2 linked regions of the Schizosaccharomyces pombe genome follow. The protein of the gene in region 1 purifies or fractionates together with the protein of each later gene. This does not show direct contact. Each region holds a gene or a part of one and is shown in the gene's direction. Other genes may lie near its edges.

Region 1 (7,938 bases):
GGGCTTAAAGATGTTAAGGATCGTGTTCTTGAGTTAGTAGCTGTAGGTAAGCTAAGAGGAACTATGCAAGGAAAGATTATGTGTTTAGTTGGTCCGCCAGGTGTCGGTAAGACTTCTGTTGGAAAATCTATTGCATCTGCCTTAAACAGGGAATTCTTTCGCTTCAGTGTGGGCGGTCTGACTGATGTCGCTGAAATCAAAGGACATCGTCGTACCTATATCGGAGCAATGCCTGGAAAAATTGTGCAAGCTTTGAAAAAGGTGCAAACTGAGAACCCTTTGATTCTTATTGATGAAATAGACAAAGTGGGCAAAAGTCATCAAGGGGATCCTGCGAGTGCACTTTTAGAGCTTTTAGATTCAGAACAGAACTCAGCTTTCCTAGATTACTATATGGATATTCCACTCGATGTTTCATCTGTTTTATTTGTCTGCACGGCGAACACCATTGATACTATTCCTCCACCTTTGTTGGATCGTATGGAGGTTATTGAACTATCTGGATATGTTTCAGCTGAAAAAGTTAACATTGCTAAAGGTTATCTTATACCCCAAGCCAAAGCTGCTTGTGGTTTAAAGGATGCTAATGTGAATATCAGTGATGACGCTATTAAGGGTTTAATTAGTTACTATGCTCATGAAAGCGGTGTACGAAATTTGAAAAAATCTATTGAGAAAATATTTCGTAAAACATCTTTTAGTATTGTTAAAGAAATTGACGATGAATTAAATTCTAAAGAGAAGTCTACGGGTAAGTCGGGAAAGAAAACATCTCCTCAATCATCAGAAGATGCAGCAAACAAAGAAGCATCATCTGTTCCGTTAAAAGTTCCCGATAAAGTTAATATCGAGATTGAAGAAAAGGACTTGACTAAATATTTGGGTCCCCCCATTTATACTTCTCAGCGACTTTATGACACTACTCCTCCTGGTGTTGTCATGGGACTTGGTTGGACACCCATGGGAGGTGTTTCGATGTATGTAGAAACTATTGTTAAAAACATTTTATCATCCAATTCTACTCCCTCTTTGGAAAGGACGGGGCAACTGGGAGATGTGATGAAAGAGTCATCTGAAATTTCGTATTCCTTTTCAAAAAGCTTTTTGTCTAAGCATTTTCCAAATAATAAATTTTTTGAACATGCGCGTTTGCATATGCATTGTCCCGAAGGCTCCATTTCTAAGGATGGCCCATCAGCAGGTATCACAATGGCTACATCTTTACTTTCTTTAGCATTGGATACTCCGGTACCAGCGACTACTGCCATGACTGGTGAGCTAACCTTGACCGGTAAAATTTTACGCATTGGTGGCTTACGAGAAAAGACGGTTGCTGCCAAATTATCTGGTATGAAAGAAATACTATTTCCAAAAAGTAACTTAGCCGATTGGGAACAACTTCCTGATTATGTTAAAGAAGGTTTAACTGGTGTCCCTGTTGCATGGTATGATGATGTTTTTAAACGGGTTTTTTCAAACATTGATGCCGAAAAATGCAACAATCTTTGGCCAAATTTAATAAAGTCATCCTCCAAGCAGCATCAAATTTCACCCAGTCATTAACATTCTCCTATTAGAAGGATACTACCTTTATGAAGAAATTATCTAAATTCATTATGTAATAGATATAGTTAATAACGATTTATGTATTGTGCTATATTTAAAAGACAACATGTAGTTTGAATTTATTCTGTTCAATCGTTCGTAAAACAGTAATATCTTTCTATAAAGTTGATAGCTTAAGCCCTTGTTGAGTAACGCAATGCAAGGCAAATTCATCGCATATTTTCTTATTTCTTGGTTACTCTACTATTGAGAAATGGGATTATTGACTATTTTGAGACAGCAAAAGCTAAAGGAACGAGAAGTCAGGGTTTTGTTACTGTAAGATGATTCAAATATATACAGAGTGAAATCTAATGACTTTAGGGGGTTGGATAATGCAGGTAAAACGACAATTTTGAAGTGCCTGTTGAACGAGGATGTAAGTATCTTTTAAGGCTCCATAATTTATCGATTGATAGGTAAATGAAGTTTCGCCTACCTTTGGCTTTCAAATTCGAACGCTTGAAGTAGAAGGACTCCGATTCACGATATGTACGTAGCTTGCAATTTTCGAAATGAACAGTCTTAAGCTTACTAATTCAAGGGGACATTGGGGGGCAGAAAACGCTAAGAAATTTTTGGAAAAATTACTTTGAATCAACCGAAGCAATTATTTGGGTTGTTGACAGCTTGGATGATTTACGTTTAGAAGAATGCAGAAATACATTACAAGAATTGTTGGTAGAAGAGGTAGGCTGAAAATGTGAATTATCTTAACATGCATATAGAAACTTTTGTTTACTTCAATTTTGGTTCTCGCTAATAAGTCTGACGTTTCCGGCGCACTTTCATCCGAAGAAATTAGCAAAGTCAGTTTACAATTTATGAATCCAAGCTAACAACAAGTCAAGATATTAAATATTTCTAAATATAAATCATCGCATTGGCGGATTTTTTCGGTTTCAGCATTAACGGGCCTTAATATCAAAGACGCGATAAGCTGGCTTGCTAATGATCTAAAGGAGATTAAGTTGGGAACTATTGATTATTAAGTTTTCATCCGAGTAATCGTAAGAATCGGTTGTTCCAATCAACTCAGTACCTACAAAATCTTCGTTGAGAAGAAAGTCCTGTCGAATTAAATAGCTTGTCATGTGTTTCCTAAAATATTGTTATTTAGGCTTCTCATTAATAAAGATCACTTACAGGTCTCCTCCAGTCCATTGTTTTAGGATGTCTGCTCTCCTTTTCTCACCAGTTGGACGACGCAAAAATGTTCCTTTCGGTACGAAGGCAACACAATCAAGTATGATTTCATGTGCTGCCAAAGCCGTAGCAACAATAATTGGTATTAGGCTAGCGAATTTTTGCTGACTATGTACTTCCAGAAGAATTACTACGGATCCTGACGCTTGAAATAATATGCTGTGACATTAGCCTCTATAGTTTGTGATGCTACTTACCACCCATCTGTGCAAATGTTGGGATGCACTAATTCGATTGTTTCTTCAATATCCTTTACGGAATGGTTAAGCCCGTTTAATTCGAGCGTATTCCATATGAAATCTAAAGTATATAAAACTGGAACTTTTTCCATATTCTGGTCTTTTTTCTTCAAATGATGAATGAAACCTAACTGCCCTGTTCTCGAATAGCTCTTTTTATCTAATGTCTCTTGCACTAGAAGCTCGCATCCAGAGTTGAGTTCGTTGTTTTCACAATATGAGCCGTGCTTTCCGTTAATCCAAATTTCTCCAATTTCTCCTTCTTGACATATGTATTTTTCTTCAGGGTGAACTATGCATATTTCATTGTATAATGTGCTCTATATTAATTAGTAAATTGCTGCCTAATACTTTTCACGTACAGTTCCGGACCCATAAAGGAGTGGTTGTCTGTTTCTTAGGACATCCTCTCTTACGTTTACGAGACCGCTTCTTAGCTGATTGGCATCAAAGTAATCCTTCATTTTTTCCATGCTCGAATCCGCATTCCAACAAACGAAAGGATTGATCGGATGAGAGTATGCCAATTTTACCTTGTTGGGAGCTAGTCCAATTCTGGCGATATCTTCAATTATACTATTAACTAGGTCTTGTTAGTAAATGCGTCTTTCTGTTTTCCTACTTACCTCTAGAACTTATTGGTCTGTCGTAGCAAGGCACAATAATGCTTGACAAAGTGGAGTTAATAACAATGCTATTACAACCTTGAGCTGTTGAAAAGCTTTTCTGACAAATGTTAAGTGGAATCATAACCTTTGATAAAGAGTTTTGCTCGATAGCCTCAAAAAGCAGGCTACCATTGTTACATAAGTTTTCTTGTTTTATCAATAAAGTTGGTACTCCTATAATATGCGTTAATTATTTTTTTCACATTTTGAAAATATTTACCTGCATATACTCCAAGCAAGGCAGTATGCAATAGGCCCATTCCACTTGAGAATTCAATCCCACCAATGATTGGTTTTTCTTCATTTCCAATTACAAATTCTTTTTGTTCATGGCAAAATGCCAGAAGACTAGAATGAGAAAATTGCGTTGGGATGATGGAACCATCTTCCAGCTTATTAATACTAATTAGCGCGACTTTCCCTTTATTATTCAATTCCCCCGGGGTTATTAGATTCAATGCTTTTTTTGCACGTTTTGAAATGGGGATTCCAGTAGTTTCAAATATTTTGGGTGCCTTCATGTTGAGGTCAATGCAAGTTTGTTGAAAGTGATTTGAAATATCCCTGGATTTTAAAGATATAAGAACTTTATGATCAACAAGGATTGCTTCCACATTGAAGGCCTTTGCAATTTTTGTGAATTCTTCTATTTCCCCAATCAATTGTGATATTTCACGAATTTGAAACGGTATTGGTATCACCCCTAGGTGAAAGCAGCTATGTATGCTGATCAAAAACTCTAATGGGTCGTAATAAAGAAGTAAAATATGTGATCTTGCTTTAGCTTTAACTGATAACTGCATATATTCAACATGAGATGCAACTTTCAGCTCAAAATGGGCCCAAGTCAACTCTACTTTTGTTTTTTCGATAGCATTAAAGGTTAATATGGCAGGTGAAGTTGGTGTCTTTGCAGATTTGGTTTTTAAAAAGTCAAGGATAGTAAAGTGATTAAGCAGATTTTCTCGTGCTTTACTAACTTTGTTTTGATGCTTGTACGGATCCATCTTTTGTTTAACATTTAAAGAGATAATCTCTCTATGATGTTTGGAGGCATCTTTTGACCAAATTCCTTTTGAATTGTTTAAATTAATTTTAGATTTTGGTAATGCTGAATCCATGAAAAACCTAACATAGGATACAGGAAGATTTCCTGACAAAAAGGCCAGTTTACACTTATTCGTGTTGATTGCTTGGATTCCCATATACCTGGATCGAGGTAATGATTTGTAAGGAGCAATAAGTATGCTTAGGACATCTAATTTGAATATGTCTTGAGTGACTTGGAAGCTGCTCTCTGTTATTTTTACCAACTCTGAGAACAAATCTCTTCCTTTAAGCCGATTATTTCGAATTAACGAACGCTTAATAATTGGACTTTCAAGTACTAAAACGGAGTAAACTGCTTTGTCGATTTCTATTTCAAAGGCGACACCATCAAAAATTTCGGGAACATATTTCATGATTTTTTTAATCAAGTAATGAGAATAGTGTACATATTTTTCTTCCATTAACTTATCAGCGACCATTGTTTTCCGATATTGCCTGATTTGTTCATCTTTGTTTCCAAGAACAAAAATCTTTTCGTTATGCAAAAATCCTTTTAGACCACTATCCATGAATGAGTTATTCTTTTCAAATTTATTTTCTTGGTTGTTTTCGTAATCAGTTAATTGTTCCCCTTGTGGGTTGTTAATCACGCTAGCAGCTTTCAACTTAGGAAGACAATCAGAATAAACCCAAATTTCTCCAACTTCACCAACTTTGCATATATTCTTCGAATCTTCATTAACAACTGCCACTGATGCCTCAGGGATTGGATACCAAAAGGGAGACATGCAAAGGACTTCGTTAGGAGAATATTTTCGGATATCTAGAAATGGAACAATTTCCACTTTTTCCTTTTCTATTGAACTCTTTAATACCAAGATCTCTTGATAACAAGTATCGGCCATTTGCCGTTCATGTTTCTGTCTGTTGGTGTAACTGATCATCCAGTCTTTGAATGAAATAGGTATTCCACCAAACTTTCGCAAACATAATATCGGAGTGATTACCTCTTTGGAATTATTGGTACCTAAAGGTTGCAACCACCTATCTGAGACTATAATGTTGAATTCCGGGTCTACTACTTCGCATTCAACCATACACAACTTCAAGGACGAAAGGTTCGGTGTATAATTTTTTTTAAATGAAAGTGTAGATTTAGGATCCTCCTGATAATTGTACACTGTCTGCTTCAGTCCAGCATAATCAAACAAACTGTATGTACATCGATATTTAGTAATTAAATATGCTAATAAACCTGGCGTTTTTAGTACTTCTTCATCACAAAAGATGGTACAATATCCTGCAAACACAGAGTTGAATACCCCCATGATCAATCCTAATGGCATAGATGGATGGAAATTGGTAATGAGAACATCTTTCGAATCCTCAAAATTATGGAGCTTCCATCCAGCTTGACGAGCTGGATTGGTTATCATGGACGATGTCAGATTTCTCATCTGACTTAAAAATGTTTTCGTGGTATAAACAGCCTTAATATCATTATAGGTCGAGGAGCTGAACGTGTAATCAATGAGAACTGTGTCATTCGCACGCATCCGATACTGTTTGATTTGTTCAAATTTGTAGTTTGTAAAGTCGTTTGATTTCCACCATGCAAGGCTTTTTGCATTATTCACCTCTGTATCTTTTATGAAGATACGATAAGTAGCCTCTGTAGTAAATGCGACACGAACTTTTTCTTCATTGACAACCAACTTGAGACTTTCTGAAGATGAGGAAGGACTCAAAGGAATTACTACTATTCCAAGCAACAAACAGCCAAAGATACTAATAATATATTCTGAAGCTTCCGATTTTCGATAATATAAAATTACTCTGGTTCCAGGTTTAAGTCCAACGTGATTTTGCGCAACAGACGCAAATTGTTTAGCTCTATTCAGGATTTTATCCCAACTGTAACTCACAGCTTCTTTCCCTTTTTTATCGATACAAATATGAGCAGTAGAAGTTGGATTTTTATTTCTTCGATACTCAAGGACAGATATAATATCCTGCAGCGCCATCATTGAAAATGTTGGATTTCGTGGATCATTAATTTCAAATCTGGCTCTACGTGGAACTGTGAATTGTAGTTTTTCAGCTGCTGTGGCAGTTGATATATCTGCAAACAGCTTCTGAGATACTTTGGCCAATTGTGGTTGCAGCTCTGCATCCCTTGCTCTTTTCACATATTTTAACACTGGGTCTGGTATTGTCTCAAAAGGCAACTTGCTTTTATCTTCATATTTCGAATGCCTTACGGGATGGATTTTTTCGTTTTCTGAAGGTTTCATAAATCTCAGCACAGTATGACTATCCTTGAAATTTTTGCATTTAGTAATTTTTTTTTATATTACTCTTACCGTTTCACTTTTATAATAGACATCGTTTGCTTTCAGCATATGCGCATCTGTTCGAAGGGCTGAACCAGCAGAACCAATTTCAGATATAACATCCTCTTCTATGTCATGCAGTTTTGTCTTCTTATTGAAGTTGAAAAATGATTTTAGACTCATTTTATGGCTCACGTTCGCATACAGTTAGGAATTGAGGATTCCAAAGCTTGTATGAGAAATGTAAACAAATCGCTTATGTTACCTGTTACCTGATTGACTTCACTAAGGATAAACAATAACATTGAATGAAGTAAAAGTGTACTAAGTTTACAAATCCTAATTCAATTTAAAAATTTAGAAAGACTATGCTCTATCCCTGTTCCCCATCATTATTCATTTATGTGCGCAATTAATTTTACAAAATTAACAGTAAATACCAATCTTTTTTATACATATTAGAACGCAAAAAGTTGGATTGTATCAGCTTTTCGAAAAAAGATGCATCTACCAGGGATCGAACCTGGGACCGTCTGCGTGTAAAGCAGAAATCATAACCACTAGACTACAGATGCAACATACAACTAACAGTACTAATTAATATAATTTATTAACTAAGAAACCTGTCTTTACTAATAACGATTGAGAAAAAAGTGATAACAACAGGCTAAGCATTATGCGCTAACTTTGTTTAATTAAAAGTAAACATTCGCAAATTTTGTTGATAACAATGGACAAATTTAGTTGAATACCCCCATATTCATCGCTGTTTATTCTACCTTTCAGAAACTGTTCTTGTTAGTCAAAAGAAACAATACCTGAATAGAAACATTTTGC
Region 2 (6,502 bases), on another chromosome or scaffold:
TTCAAACAAGTATAATTTACAAAATAAATTCTAAATAAAACCATAATTATTTATTAAATGTAGAAAATGATAACTAAAGAAAAGGGTTTAACCGAGAGTTCTTTTTGCCTAAATATGTAAAAGAACGAATGAAAAGGGAGAAAGGAAAGTAAAAATTGAACGAATGAAGAAATAACTCATGCACTTGAAGATGCTTTTACGTGAAATTAACTCCACAGAAACAGCATAATGGTAAATATGAAAAAAAACATGACTTTAGATAACAAATAACCAAAATATTTTGTTTTCTTTGACGAACGACTCAATGTATTTGAGCTAAAGGAAGCAGACAAAAATGCACACAGTAATATCCTAGTGTGCTAATGAAAAATCTAAATGACATGAAAGGCTTTGGCCTTAAAAAAAATTAACAATTTAGGAATATAACAACCCACGTTTGTGTTCACCTAAACGCATCCCACGTTTCGGAGCAGCTTGAGCCCAGCTGTCTCGTCTCCTTAAACCAGCAGTTGGAGTTGCGATTATAGTAGGCTTAGAGGCCGTACTAGCATAATTAGCATACAACGTATACATGTACGTTGGAGATGCAAAGACAGTCGAGGTGGCAATGGGAGGACCTGCAAACGTGGTAAATACGGAATAAGAGGAAGTTTCCCATAGCGGTTGTATGTCGGTCGTAGCAGCAGTAAAAGTAGAATCTGGTCGATTTTGAATAGGTCCTGTACGGAGAACACCGGTAGTTTGAGATAGATACCAATCTCGCATTGTACCTGTAGGCCATACACCAAGAAAAGTGCTAAAACCAGTAAGGGTAGGAACATAAGGATACACACCAAGAGCCATCAAAGACGCATAAATTTCGTAATTATCAAAAGTTCCTGTTAGACCATTAACAGTGAAAAAGTCAGTATAGTCATTAACTATACCACCAGCATATGTAGATTGTGCCCAAAGAAAGTAAAGACGTCCAGCTGGTCCAAAAACCTGAGAAATAGCGAAGGGTCCAGCTTGGGATATAGAAGAAGGACTAGGGGACGTATACAAGACTGCACAAGGTTGAGGAGCATCCATGCTACCACTACATATATAAAAAACTGTGTTGGTTATGTCCTCAAGAGGTATTCCCGTATTAGATTCTTCCCATGAAAACGAAATAGCGGTAAAATCCATACTATCTGTTGTCGCCGGAGTGACGAATCGAATTTGCGCACATACATAATGTATGTATGAGCAGACTAGCAATACTAGCATCAACATGGTGGTTTTCATTAAATTCGACGGCTTGAAGAGACTTTGCAAATTTAGTGGTAAGCGATATATATAAATCGTTGCTCTGACAACAGGGATGTATATCGAAACACCTTATTTGACATGTGTAAACAAATAATCGAGAAAAGTTGGTTTATTGTAAGCTAATAAAAGTGATTTTTTTATTTTTTTTTATTTTTTATTTCATGCAATAAATTTCGGCTTAACTCAAAAATATATATCACGAACAAGCTGGATATAGTTAACACTGAATATGTTTTAACCTGAAACCTCTAATTCAAATTCTCTTCAGTTTAGCAAGTACTTACAATTGCTCTGTAAATTTATGCCGACTAGTTTAAAGGCCAACATCTTGGGAAAATTATTGTAACGTTTGAGAATCTTTAAGTAAAGATCTATTTAAACGATACTGCTATACATTTGTAATATCAAATGCTAGTCTTGTACCAAAAGAATGAATAACATGCGAACTTACTGAATCTATGTCGTGAATATTATGTCTACTCTATGAAATAATTGCGTTAGAGCTGTCAATATATAGGCCCTTTACTACCAGATATGCTTACTGTCTGGCTGTATTCCTAATTCATTCGCAGAAATAATATATCATTTACAAATATCACAGTGGTTGCTCCAAAAGCATTCTTAATAACTGCTCACGTTTAGATTTGAGATTTGAAATATCAGTAGTGGGTACAGATTACACCACCACAATAATTTACCTTTTTATTATCCCACTTTTCATAATGTTTTTCAATATCAAAGCTTGTGAAATTTAATCGTTAATAAATCTTACAGGTCTAAAATTATTCAAACTTGTTTTATTTTCTTATTGGTATCATTTGCAACCTCATGAGTGACAAAGGAGGAAATTGTCCAAGGCAATACAGAAAATTAGGGACCAAGTTTTTTTTTTAGGACGAAAGAAATTCTAAAAGAAAGGAGATTAACATATTTTTTCGCTTTATTCGTTTTTCATAATTTATTCAACACGCGTTAATTGCTTAAAGTCGTTACAGTCAAAAATAATCATAGCATAAATTTTAAACAAAAATGGAAGAAGAAGAATCTTTAGAAGGAATTATTTCTATAGATGAGTCTTTGATAACCTCACGTTTATCGCAAATTCTCGATGATGTTTTAGACGATAGAAGTTCTTCACATTCTGTGGAAAAACTTAAAGACGTCGCTGTTAAATATGTATGTTTAAAAAGATATTGTGACCTTTCTAATTAAAATTCTAGTTGCAATTTTGTCAATTTCAGCCGACATTGCTCGATAAACTACTGAGTAAATACGTTCCAAACTTGGCTAGCTATTTACTGAAAGTGAAAAATATCGGAAAATGTAACTCAATTACCGTTATCCTTTACCAGTTTTGTAAAATAAGAGGATATAAAGCTGTTCGCGTCCTCTTTCCTGTTGGCGTTCAATATATTAAGGAATTATATACATTATTAAATGAATCATCAAATAATACCTGGCATTTTCACTACATAGTTTTACTGTGGCTTTCTCAAGCACTCAATACCCCATTCCCGTTAAATTCATTAGATGATTCCTTGGATGTGAAGAAGACCATTTACACTATAGCAATTAAATACTTAGAAAATTCGGGAATAGACAAAGAAGCTTCTTGTCTTGTTTTGTCCCGATTATTCTCTCGTGATGACGGTTTGGATTTACTTCTAGGCTTTCTACACCACTGTGAGAGTAGTTGGTTTAAGAGAAGTATCTTTTACAAAATTGGGTGTCTTTTTTCCTTATCTTCTTTTCTTAAAATTTGTCCGAGAAATGATTGTCTTCAAACAGTTGATGTTGCGTTTCAGTTTCTGAATGTAGCACGAGAAGATTTAGTTGGACAAGAAAATTCAGCGTTGAGGAAATTATTATGCAAATGTTATACAAGATTGGGAATTGTATTGCTGCCTGTAAATTCATCCCCTAATTGGAAATACTCGATCAGTAACCCAGATAGTTTCTTTCAATTACCTGATGACTCTAACGAAGAAGTACATATATATCTGGAGGTTATTGTTGATTTTTTATTGTCATCTGTAAGCGACATAGACAGTTTTGTACGCTGGTCTGCAGCCAAAGGGCTAGCCAAGATCATAAGTCGTTTGCCCTGGAATTTGGCTGAGCAAGTTATCGATGCCATTATTGAATTGATGACAGAAAATATGTTTTTAAACCCCATAGAAAACACTGTAAACATATCAATTACTTCTCCACTGGTTTGGCACGGAGCTATACTTTTCTTCGCAAAACTAGCAGGTGCAGGTTTAATTAAGTATAGTAAATGTTTACATATTCTTCCATTGATCGAAGTAGTAAGTACACTTTGTTTTCTTATATCATTCTAATCCTTATTTAGGGCTTATCATACGAAGTAAGATATGGAACTAGAGTAACAGGACAAAGCATCAGAGATGCCTCCTGTTATTTTGTTTGGTCATTTTATCATTGCTACTCTAAGTCAGCAATTGAAGGCTTACAAACGAATCTTATTTTATGTCTCTTACAAACGGTATTGTTTGACAATGAAATAAATGTGCGCAGAGCTGCAACTGCTGCTTTATTTGAGGTGATTGGCAGACACGCTTCTATTCCCGATGGGCTTTCTTTGATATCACATATTAACTATGTTTCTGTAACGGATATTTCAAATTGTTATGGTGACTTGTGTATGAAAGTAGCTCATTTTCCTCAGTTTCGTTCCTGTGTTTTCCAAAGACTATTTACAAACCTTCAGCACTGGGACGTGAAGGTACAGCAGCTTTCTGCTTTTTCCCTAAGACAACTTTCTATTAAATATCCCAAAGAGCTAAGCATCTATCTTCCTCCCATACTTGATTATTTGTCTGTTGGTAATGCAGATTTTATTTTTGGCTATACGATTGGATTGGCAAGTATTATAGGTGGATTTTTATCCATAAGCTTCCCGTTCGATATAAATCGTATCCATGATTTACTGTCGCACAAAAACCTACTGTCCTTAAAAAAATTTTCAAGGCAACAGCAAACAAAAATTATTTTGGGAATTTTAAAAGGAATTCAACAAATTTTTGCCAATGATATTCGTGTTGACAGAGCATTTTTCAGTGAAGCATTTTCTGTTATAATCGCTGCTATTGATTTACAGGAGGAAACAATCATAAAAGACATCAGTGACGCTTACAGTGTACTTGTTAAATTTGATGATATGGAAGAAACATTGGAGGTTCTTCTTGACTATATACGAAAATGCTCAACAAGTAAAGAAGCGAGAATTGTATACATTATTCTACAGAATTTACCGAATATAAGTTTTCGATACCAGAAAAAGATATGCAAGCTTTTATTGGATATTTATCCCCAACTCGTAAGTAAAGAATTTTTTCACCAATGTTAACATGAACAGCACTCAATAGACTATCAAGCACCTGTTGCGAATGCGCTTCAAAATATTATTCCCTTTACTTATGAAAAAACAGAAAGCATTGAAGAATTTGTCAAAGAATTACTTCAGGTTTGCTCCAATTATTTGACAGATACCCGAGGAGATGTTGGCTCATGGATTCGCAAACCTGCAATGAAGGCCATTTCCAGTCTATTAGTCAAAGATTCATCTGGAAAAAAATTAAGTGAAGATATAGTTTGGTGTTGTATTTCCTATATTATAAGGCAAACATTTGATAAAATTGATAGTTTGAGGGGTTTGGCATATCAAGCACTCGAACAAATCAGAGTACATTACCTAATCAGAAGATGCGAAGCTTTGACTAATATTATTAATCGTATTAGGTAAAATGAGTTTTCAATTAAAATTCTGCTATTAACCACTAGTTTCAGGAATAATCCAAATATGGATGGAGAGGTACTAAATGAACTGAATATATCTCTGCTAGAAATACCTAATTTAAGGCTTCAAGCTTTTTACGGAATTACAGTATTTACTGCCGATGGTTTTGGCAGTGACTTAGTAAGTTATCATATGCTTCGATGTCTTAATATACTAACTCTACTAGGCAGTTAAATGTTTTGAATTTTATCTAAGTTATGTTTACCAGTTAGAAGATTCGTTTAAAAAATCTAACTCTCGTTATGGTAAACGGGATCTTCTACAACTCTATATAGACATACTTTCTTCGGAGGATGAAATAGCTCGTTTCTATTTTCCAATCATGAAATCTTTCACATCTTTGTTAGCATATGGTTGTTTCACGGACTTTCAAAACGTTAAGGGGTATGTTTTTTTACATTTTGTTCAAAATACTAATGATATCAGCATGTCAAAAGCGATTTTTATTGTACAGAGAAGGGCTCTTACTTGTAAATCACCAGGGGGACTTTCTGCGATACTAGAGTTATATCGGACGCTTTTTCTTTCCAAAAATGAACTTTTGAGGCATCATGCTTTAAAATATACGGCAAACCTACTATTAAACCCGATTGAAAAAGTACGCTACCAAGCAGCCGACACTTTGCTCTATGCGAAGTCAATTGGTTTGCTAACTTTCCTCCCTAATGAATTAAACCAAAAACTACTGACTTTGGATTGGTTCGTACCAGTATCTCAAAACGCAACTTTTGTTAAACAGCTAAGGAATATAATACAGAAACAAATAGATAAACTGATAGCTGATCGATAATAAATTTTGAACTACTTTCAGCTTTTTAAATAGTCGTGTATATGATGTATAAAAACGTTAAAATCTGCAATCAATAAAATATCTGGTGAATAATCTCAAATTTTTAGCCAAAACAGTTCGTGCTTATGTAGTACTAAATTGATGTCCATAAAAGGAACACAACCAATAAAAATTACATTTGAAAATTGAGAGTTGAATTATTATTACCTTCATTAGAATTGTAATTAAAAAGTAAGAGATTAAAGCATAAAACACAAAAACACCATCGTGATAAAAAAATGTATTCATGAGCCGTGAATATAGTAGACAGCACAATACGATGAATAGAATTTACAGTTCCGAACGAGATAGGTCATCCAATTCCTTTTGGTAGTCCATCTTCAAATCCTCCAAACTGTCTTGAACGTGTAGCTTGAAATGTATTATTTCACCAAGCACAAATGCAACCTCTTTATATATATTGTTTTTGTACTCCATGCAAGCATGTGCAATTTGATCCGCTTCGATATTTATACTTTGTATACGCTGGTCTAATTGAAGCATGCTGTTATGCGAAGAAAGTTTGAGCTGTTGTAATTCTCTTTCTAACTTATCCGATT

Evidence for each region. Proteins that work in one complex are often made in the same cells at the same time.
Region 2: the proteins of alp41 (region 1) and alp1 purify together in Schizosaccharomyces pombe (affinity purification with western blotting, with the first as the bait; one study listed by BioGRID). This does not show direct contact.

Annotation. Positions count from the first base shown.
Region 1 is NC_003424.3:695,472-703,409, forward strand, and holds alp41 (GTP-binding protein involved in beta-tubulin folding Alp41), read left to right. Parts: upstream 1-1,814; 5' UTR 1,815-1,819; coding exon 1,820-1,884; exon of another isoform or gene 1,885-1,929; coding exon 1,930-1,984; exon of another isoform or gene 1,985-2,024; coding exon 2,025-2,097; exon of another isoform or gene 2,098-2,149; coding exon 2,150-2,295; exon of another isoform or gene 2,296-2,333; coding exon 2,334-2,414; intron 2,415-2,456; coding exon 2,457-2,597; coding exon of another isoform or gene 2,598-2,706; 3' UTR 2,707-2,751; coding exon of another isoform or gene 2,752-2,970; 3' UTR 2,971-3,008; coding exon of another isoform or gene 3,009-3,370; 3' UTR 3,371-3,412; coding exon of another isoform or gene 3,413-3,633; 3' UTR 3,634-3,676; coding exon of another isoform or gene 3,677-3,892; 3' UTR 3,893-3,938; coding exon of another isoform or gene 3,939-7,086; 3' UTR 7,087-7,131; coding exon of another isoform or gene 7,132-7,284; 3' UTR 7,285-7,569; downstream 7,570-7,938. Other genes in the region: lon1 (Lon protease), read left to right, coding at 1-1,563; mug62 (putative AMP binding enzyme), read right to left, coding at 2,562-2,706, 2,752-2,970, 3,009-3,370, 3,413-3,633, 3,677-3,892, 3,939-7,086, 7,132-7,284.
Region 2 is NC_003423.3:3,352,546-3,359,047, reverse strand, and holds alp1 (tubulin-specific chaperone cofactor D Alp1), read left to right. Parts: upstream 1-2,000; 5' UTR 2,001-2,322; coding exon 2,323-2,469; intron 2,470-2,513; coding exon 2,514-3,602; intron 3,603-3,646; coding exon 3,647-4,633; exon of another isoform or gene 4,634-4,672; coding exon 4,673-5,055; intron 5,056-5,103; coding exon 5,104-5,233; intron 5,234-5,279; coding exon 5,280-5,497; exon of another isoform or gene 5,498-5,539; coding exon 5,540-5,903; 3' UTR 5,904-6,002; downstream 6,003-6,502. Other genes in the region: knh1 (KRE9-like protein), read right to left, coding at 415-1,269; protein Ndc80, read right to left, coding at 6,234-6,502. UniProt on the Schizosaccharomyces pombe protein: Has a function in the folding of beta-tubulin. Microtubule-associated protein that is essential to direct polarized cell growth and to position the nucleus and septum to the center of the cell during mitosis.